Arabidopsis thaliana: one gene and its partner. The protein of the gene in region 1 interacts with the protein of each later gene in a pairwise test. Each region holds a gene or a part of one and is shown on either strand. Other genes may lie near its edges.

Region 1 (5,426 bases):
AATGTATAGTTTAGTATGTTCCTTAATGGTCTGATTTTTCTTTTACCAACTTGATTTACAAAAGTATTTAGAAAGTACAAAGATGATAACTTTTAGCATTGAAAAACATATAATGAACACATGGCCATGTTACTTTGATGATTTCATAATACTCTCACGTTGATTACACATCGTGCTAAGTACTAGCAATCTCCAAAGGTAAACATATATTATATACCTTAAGAATTCTTAAGATATCAAAGAAGCTTCCACTCAAATAAACTAACTTAAAGTAATCAACCCATACATTCATTCTCATAAGTCAGTATATAAAAAAAGCTAGAGGAAAACATACTAGCAATTATTTTTGCCAAAAAAAAAAGCTATGGAAAAGTTTCTCAGCACTTTTGATATTTTGCAAGAAAAAATGTTACTTTGATTGTAAGACTATATTATTTTCCAACAGTAACAAAAATCATTTATTTTTATTTAAAAGTGAAAATAATTTGAATGTTAGGCATCTTTAGTAATAAGAGAATAATTTTTCTCACAAGTAGGTAATTAGTAATAATGTGAAGAATAATGCTTCTCAATTAGATTATAAATAAAGTAGTTTTGAAAAAGGAAAGAGAGCAGTCTTTCTTCTTTAGCAATGGCTATGGAGGGAGATGTAGGCCCTCCGGCGACATTGTCCCCGACTTTTGTCGGCCGGCGGTAGATTTACCGACTCCTCCACTCTTAAATCTTTTTAACTTTTTTTTTTCCTTTTTAATATTTTAACTAAAAGCCTTTTTCTTGAACACGAGTACACAAAGAATCAACTCTAGAGAATAAATTAGATTCTTTCTTTCCCCCATTTTATAATCGGTTCAAAAATGAAACCACGAGACTTGCGTGGGTATAAATTAATGGACAAAACTTGTACTTATAAGAATGATCAAGCTCTTCAATGTTTTCTTTTTTTACTGATCCTTTTGAACCTTGATTGAAGTAGAAAAGGCTTGAAAGGCCTTAGTTGCGGTAAACGAACTCTACTCCTCTTAGCTTGCGTCTTACCTACATTATGGATTGATATAACATTAGACTGAAATCTATACTCCAAACTTATGTGTTAGGTTAGATTTGCAAATGAGGAAACTTAGATCTCGTACCTGATTTTGTGTCATTGTTATTTTCAGAGGATTGGACTTGGGCTTGGTGACTAGCTTCGGTTTCAGTCTTTTCAACCTTCTCGTCTTCAATTGTTAACTCTTCGACCTTATTGTCTTCCATTGTTATCTCAAAGGTGTTGTGGTTTGGAACTGATGCCTCTTCCTCGAGCTTTGTCTCATCGGACTCTAGTCTTGATGCTTCGTCATGGTCTTGCACAACCGCATCTGGACTGAGAGATTTACCTGATTCACTTAGCAAATCGGTAGTCTCAGAGGATAAGTTAGGAAGAATAATCTTACTGTCACCTGTTTCATGCATCTGGTCTTCCATTGTGACCTCCATGTACTCGTCGTGATTTGCTTCCGAAGAACAATCAATTTTCATCTCATCAGCAATGGATGTGAGGTGTTCAGGCTCAGGGATATGCTTCTCATCATCAATGGATGCGTGGTGTCCAGACTCAGTGATATGCATCTCATCATTACTAGCATGACCAGTAGTAGCTCTTTCTTTGCTGTTTTCGTCCACTGAGGCTTCTTCTTCAAAAGCAGCATTTCCCATGTTATTCACTTCAACAGGACTTTGTGGGATCCCATGATCGCTTTTTGACGGTGACATTGATCCACCTTCGGAAGTCGACTCAATATTCATGCTAACATCCGACGCTGCTTCTGACTTTGTACATCTTGTCAGTGTAAAGGGAGTAGCCGTCTGATTTTGCACCAAAATCCCCTGGCCATGGCTGGCACTGCATTTCCTTAGGGCAAATGCTTCTTCTTTGAGGACATTTGTAGTAGGTTCCACCTTATTGTCATCTTCAGACATCAGCATGTCAATTTGGCTTATGGTTTCAATTTCCCGAAGGTTATCATCAGATGAAGCTGTGGCCATACGTAGTTCAGAAACTTGATTACTACTGTGCACCTGAGTGTCAATCACCTTAGCTGCAGAAGGCTGAGTCACTGATTCAGTTCCTACAATATCCTTAACCCGGAAACCATGTTTTGGCAAGCCATCAAGAACAGAGGTGAAATCAATCGCCTTCGAGGATTTGTGCGCCACAACATTTGTGGCATCAAAAGCCTTTGCAAGATCATCCAAAAGCATGTCACCTTCACCGCTCGAAAGGCGATCCCATTTCATGCAATCTTCAGACAGAGGCTGTTCGAGGCTAAAAGTATCACCAGCAGAAAGTAATTCAACCCTGACAGCTTCTTTGTGAAACCGTTTTTTCTTTAAAACCTTGGCTATCATATTCCTGAAAGCAATTTAAAATCCATTCTCAATGACGCTTAGCAGCATCAAATAACACAATTGCTAGACGAATTTGATACATACCTACAATTTTTTGAAATGGCAGCTCTAGCTCTTTCAGCAGAGAGTCCAAGTAAGAACATGAGATTTATGACATCATTTGGACCTCTAAGTTCTGTGACTGAAGGAGCACCACTTGATATAATTAGATTCTTCCCCCTAGTCCAATCCACCAGTAACTAGATACACCATATCACAAGACAGTATAAGCAAGTTCTCATAAAACTTTCACATGATCAACTAATTGACAATAAAATTTTCCACAGAATCTCACCTTAGCATTTGATATAACTTGTCTCCTCGTTTGTGCATCCATAAGGATATCAGAGTACTTAATCTCAAAGTAAATCCCTCGCTGCAGATAAGAAAATTCATTAAGGTGAAGCAAATAAAAAGAATAAGATACACACAGATTCTTCTAACAGTGAAATCACAAACCTGAATAGCAGCTTTAACCATGGGATGCTTCAATCGGAATAACATCTTGTCCGTAAAATCTATCGAAATAAGATCAACCTATGAAAACAAACAAGCTAAGAGTTAAATCCTAACTAAAAAAACTCCAATTGAGCTACAAAAACTAAAGATTGAATTTTTAACAGAAAAAGAGAGAAATTCAAACCTCAGCTTTCTCACAGGCATAATCGAAAGCGTTCTGATTCATCGGCCTAACAGCAATAATATCATAACTCTTTAGAATCGGATTCCCAGAATTCAAACTCTGACACTGAGCATTACTCTCCACATGAACTGTGAGACGCGTGTACTGCCGAAACGGAGTAGTTCGCGGAACACCGAGTAAATCGCGATGGAATCCGACAGAAGAAGCTAACCGCGGAGCGACTTTGATTAGAGACCCAAGAGTGAGAAGAGGGATCGTACAAGAGTCTTTGTCAGACATTACGCCTTTGATCGAACGGTTATGTGCGATCCCAACATAGCCTAGCTCCATGGCTTTCGTGGCGAGCTTTAATCGTAAGGTTTTCCCGCCGGCGATTTCCTTACCACCTGATCGTGGCGGCTCATTGTACGGAATGCTAAGATCGAAGAATCCCATTAGTGAGTCGGAGAGAACAGTGGCGGAGAGATTTTCCGATTAGGGTTTAAGCATTAAATAACGGGTTTTTAGATACTTCACCGATTTTAGGAGAAGAAATATAAATACGACCAAAAAAAAAAAAAGAGAAGAAAAAGAAATAAATTTATTTTACTATGCAACCGACGACGTATGAGGCAGTTACCGAAACGCCTGCGTATTCGAAAATAAGAGAAGTTTGGTTTCGATCCATAACCGGCCCATTAAAAAGTAAGCCAGCCCATGCAAACTAGTAACTACAAAGCGAAGCTCTGAAGAACACTTATGTAGTTATCATGCGGATCACAATTAATAACCGTTGATTAAAATCAATCGACGGCTATCATGTCATATCAGTATTGACAAGGATTGAGCTTAACAGCCGTTAGATGGGTTATTAAATCGGATGGTTGAAAACAAAAGCCCTCTTATATATAAACAAACACGTCCAGTCAATATCTGAAAATCAAAAGCAATTCTTCTTCACACAGTAGCGAAAAAAAGAAATCTAATTCTCTCGAGAAAATGTCTGGTCGTGGAAAGGGAGGAAAAGGCTTGGGTAAAGGAGGAGCCAAGCGTCACAGGAAGGTTCTGAGAGACAACATCCAAGGAATCACCAAGCCTGCCATTCGAAGATTGGCTCGTAGAGGTGGAGTCAAGCGTATTAGTGGTCTCATCTACGAGGAGACACGTGGCGTCCTCAAGATCTTTCTCGAGAACGTAATTCGTGATGCTGTCACTTACACCGAGCACGCTAGGAGGAAGACTGTGACCGCCATGGATGTTGTCTACGCTCTCAAGAGGCAAGGAAGGACTCTCTACGGATTCGGCGGTTAATCAGGGTTTTTCAGATTTGTGTTTGGAGATCTGTTTCTGGAAATTAGATTTGAGAATTTCAATGTAGGTATTTTAGTAAATGTAGCAAGATTTGATTTCCTTTTTTTGCTATTTCGCTTTTGTAATGTGTTTTCATTTGCTAAATTCTCAACAATGGAAACACGCAATTTGGTGAAAGTTCGTTTGATTACTCATAATCTCTTATGACTCTGACTCTAATTTTCTACCTCGCTTTGAATTGTGAATTTGACAGTAGAGCAGACGTATTAACTCGTCAGCCGTCAATCTAGTTCTTTATCAGCGGCGATCTTCGGCTGTTAATCAACTACGTGGCGTGACGAGATACGTTGAAATCAGCTTGACTGTTGGCTCTCGAGTATAACATGTCTTGGGCTTTTCGATTCGTTATTATTGTTTAGAACGAAATATTTATTTGCACTAAAATGTACAAAATTTAAGCCCAATAAAACATCACCAAGCCCATAAATAACGACGACAAGACGTCAGGTCCAAATGTTGAGAGTAAAGAAGCTTTAACCAACTTTACTCATTAGCGCGTAAATTTTAGTTTCCCTCCATTTTGTGTTGATTTTATATAGTTTTCATTTTGCCACGAGTGGTAGTGGATAATGAGGTCTTGATCCATTTTAAAAAGGAGATAGTGGTATCTTAAGGGTTCTTTGAATTTGATGAATCAAATCATCCAATTTCTATAATTGGATACAGATCTAAAAGAAGGTGATATGAATAAATTGTCGTATTGCATAACAAATTCTGAAAAGATACAAAACGACATTAATCAATCTCATTCCGAAACTATTCTACCACAACGACGTTGATTACTTTTAGAAAAAAAAAAAGATTAAAAGAAAAATAAACAGGGGCCTGAAGAGGTACACGTGTCTTCAGCCAACCAACACGTCATCTCTCTGATCCAGAATGCAACGAAGTCGTTTTGAAACAAACTATATCTTCGTTTTTTCCTCTCGTGTCTTTATCGGAGTTCACAGTAGCAAAAGAGAAAAGAAGTTCACGCCTAATTACGACTAATTTTTAAATCCAGAGGAGA
Region 2 (3,299 bases), on another chromosome or scaffold:
ATAAGATGGCTTGATGAGGGCCATGGAAGGTGATGTCTCCTCCTCTTTGAGTATAATGAAGTTCAGCTCCGATTTTTGTAAGTTCAGATTCAGGGATAAGTAGATTGTGATCGGTTCTACGCTTTCCGAGCGTATAAGTTGGTGGATGCTGAAGCGAGAGGAGGGTATCTGGAATCTGATGAGCTTTTCTCTCTGAAACTAATTTCTCCTGCAGTTTAAGGGATTTCAAATAGTTGACAGTGCCTAGCTTCCAAACCTCCAAGGTTCTAGGGGATCTCATTTCCTGCACATTAACACAGACTCCATAATTGATCACTTTATCTCTAACTACTTAGGTTATATAGGAAGATTCCAAACACGACCTTTTTTTCCACACAAACTTAATACTACTGATGGGGGTCTAAAAGCATGACTAACACAACAAAAAATTTCCAAAGGCAGCAAACCTAAAATTAGGAATAAAAATCTGAGGAGCTAGGATACAAACCCTATGAATAGTTTTTGGTACCAGGTCTTTGAGGTATTTTATCGAACACTTAACATGCATACACAAAGAAAAAGACACGGAGGATTACCGTAACCGATAAAAACCCATATAAATGATCGTATACATGGTACAAGAGCAAGTAATCGGTAAAGTAAGAGGCTTTGAAGAGCTAGATTACCGTTTCAGTTCTTCTCCTCCACCGAAGAGTTTGGACCTCAGAGATAGGTTCTCTCCAGATTAGAAATTTTGGATTTATTAAAAGCTTCAAAATTCAACGACTTTGCACTTGTACCCTTAAGTTTTCAATTTTCACAGAATTACGCCTTATCTAGAACATATCTCAACAATTCACACCCTCTTATTTTAATTCCAACATATAAAAACCCAGTGATTCAAATCGCAAACAATCTTTTCAGGGAATGATGCTGTTTCTTATCCCTTTGTATTTCAGAATTAAGAAAAATACAAAGATTGTACAATTTCAAAACTTAGGGGTCAAATTCGAAGGAAAAAAGGTCTAGAAAAGTTTCAGTTTTCCAATAGTTTGATCTTCTCAAGAGAAGTATTCATCTGCCTAATCTCCTCTTCAGACAAGCTTTTGCTACACTGCTCAAACTTCTCCTTGTCGCACTTCAAGGCTGTGTCTCTACACGCTCTGATGCAACCGCTAATATCGAGCAAGTTTAAGATCACCGGACAGTTTCCGATGCTTTTGACCAATGTGATTGCTAACCAAACTTGTCTGTGTTCTTCTCTTGATGATCTTACAATGCATAGCTTCGTGATTGGATTCACATATTTCACTTGGAAGGAACCGAGAGACGAACCTAGACCACACTCGCCGAAATTGACGAGGATACTGTCTTTGATTGCTTTCGAGAGATTGAATTGTGTAAGAATGATCGGTGTTCCTTCTCCGAGAAGATCCTTGTCCGGATCCAGAAAAACTTCCATTAACATGTATCTGTTCTTAAATCCCACCATGCTTCTTCGAATCTCCTCGATTTGATGATACCAAGTCGGCGGCTAAAGATATTCTGAACATGTAGTTAGGGCATTTTATATGTAAGAAGAAGAAGAAGATAATCACGTGACTCCACGTGACTTGCTTACTTATGGACTTGGGTCTTTGAACATATCTGAAATGGGCTTAGTTATAGCCCATTTCATCTCATACGACTCCGTGATTTGCTAACTAATGGGCTTAGTTATATGGTCCTAGCCTAGTTAATCTCCAACGTTCCCTTCGTTGTTCATCGGAATCCCTAGAACACTCGATTTCAGCAAAATCAAATCGGATTCAGTGATCAAAAGTCAATTTGGTCGAGAAGAAATTGAGCGTTGAAGATGACGGAGGCGATGATAAGAAATAAGCCAGGAATGGCGAGTGTGAAGGATATGCCGCTGCTTCAGGATGGTCCGCCACCGGGTGGGTTCGCACCGGTCCGATATGCCCGCCGGATATCCAATACGGGTCCTAGTGCAATGGCCATGTTCCTTGCCGTTTCTGGTGCCTTTGCTTGGGGAATGTACCAGGTCGGCCAGGGAAACAAAATCCGCAGGTAAGAACGACTTGTAATAGCTCGTTCACATTTCAATTTTTCCTCTAAAATTCGAGATCGCCTTGGTAAAATTAGTGTTGTGGAGTGATTGATGACCATAGTAATGTAGTGAAGGATACATTTTGGTTAATAATTGTTGAAACTTGAGTATGTTTATCGTAGGAATTGGTTAATATTATTAACCTATGGAAACATAGGCTTGTTGAATCACTGTTATGTATTCTGTTATTAGTATTCCCCGACATTTTGGTTGAAGCTTAATCAGCATGAGTTTAGCCTTAAACGAATATAAAGTTCGTCAACAATTTGTAAACTCTTAAAGCCACAATTGCAAAGATGTGAGAATCTGTTATGATGAAAGCAATTATCTAGTTGCATGTTTTGATAGTAGTTATCGGGATACTGTTTCTATGTAGATAGATTGTTTTAGTATTATATCTGGCTTGATCATTAACTTCTTATGCATTTACAATGGTCCTAAACAAGTCTGATTTGATATCAGTAAGTATCAAGATTAATGCTCTTATCAAGATTGATGTGATGTTTAGGGCATTGAAGGAAGAGAAATATGCTGCTCGTAGAACAATACTTCCCATTCTTCAAGCAGAAGAAGATGAAAGGTAAACCATATTCTCAAATTTAAGTCAATGTGCCTGCAGCAACCTTCAGATAGCAATCTTGTTTCAATCCCCGTTTTGCATTCTAGGTTTGTGTCTGAGTGGAAAAAGTATCTGGAATATGAGGCTGATGTAATGAAAGATGTTCCGGGATGGAAAGTTGGCGAGAATGTGTACAATTCTGGTCGCTGGATGCCTCCGGCTACTGGGGAACTCCGTCCTGATGTGTGGTGATTTCCTAGTTTCTCTCAAATGCATATGATGATGATGAATGATGTTTCGCTGAGGATTGATATGTTCTTGTTATATCTTTTTTTCTTCGGGTAATAAGAGAATGATTCAACAGACAGTATTCTTCTTGTATTGGTTTTCTCTTAAGTGTTTCAATCGTAATATGAGGCAAAAACAGTTTCATGATTCATCAGCAAGCTGCAAGAAATTGGCTTATTTGACAGCTCCAGGTGAAAAATATTCGAAAAAGCTTACCGAGTGAAATCGAACCAAATCATATATAATTATATGTGAATTTAATATCCAAAACAATAAAATTTTGAAAACAAGAGTTCTTGAAAATGAAAAAAAGAGTAAAACCTTTTCAGAAAATAAATAAAATTAAATGCTAAATATAGTACA

The links.
Region 2: the proteins of GAF1 (region 1) and EMB1687 interact in a two-hybrid assay, tested with the Arabidopsis thaliana proteins (one study listed by BioGRID).

What each region holds. Positions count from the first base shown.
Region 1 is NC_003076.8:24,145,283-24,150,708, reverse strand, and holds GAF1 (Polymerase/histidinol phosphatase-like protein), read right to left. Parts: upstream 3,611-5,426; 5' UTR 3,503-3,610; coding exon 3,068-3,502; intron 2,962-3,067; coding exon 2,884-2,961; intron 2,801-2,883; coding exon 2,720-2,800; intron 2,625-2,719; coding exon 2,470-2,624; intron 2,390-2,469; coding exon 1,131-2,389; intron 1,036-1,130; coding exon 926-1,035; 3' UTR 767-925; downstream 1-766. Other genes in the region: AT5G59970 (Histone superfamily protein), read left to right, coding at 4,046-4,357. UniProt on the Arabidopsis thaliana protein: Probable component of ribonuclease P, a ribonucleoprotein complex that generates mature tRNA molecules by cleaving their 5'-ends. May also be a component of the MRP ribonuclease complex, which cleaves pre-rRNA sequences.
Region 2 is NC_003070.9:1,289,522-1,292,820, reverse strand, and holds EMB1687 (ribonuclease P family protein / Rpp14 family protein), read right to left. Parts: upstream 1,522-3,299; 5' UTR 1,472-1,521; coding exon 1,016-1,471; 3' UTR 797-1,015; downstream 1-796. Other genes in the region: LIP2 (lipoyltransferase 2), read right to left, coding at 1-280; MEE4 (GRIM-19 protein), read left to right, coding at 1,835-2,049, 2,598-2,669, 2,756-2,900; AT1G04625 (Polynucleotidyl transferase, ribonuclease H-like superfamily protein), read left to right, coding at 3,001-3,127. UniProt on the Arabidopsis thaliana protein: Essential protein required during embryogenesis. Component of ribonuclease P, a protein complex that generates mature tRNA molecules by cleaving their 5'-ends. Also a component of RNase MRP.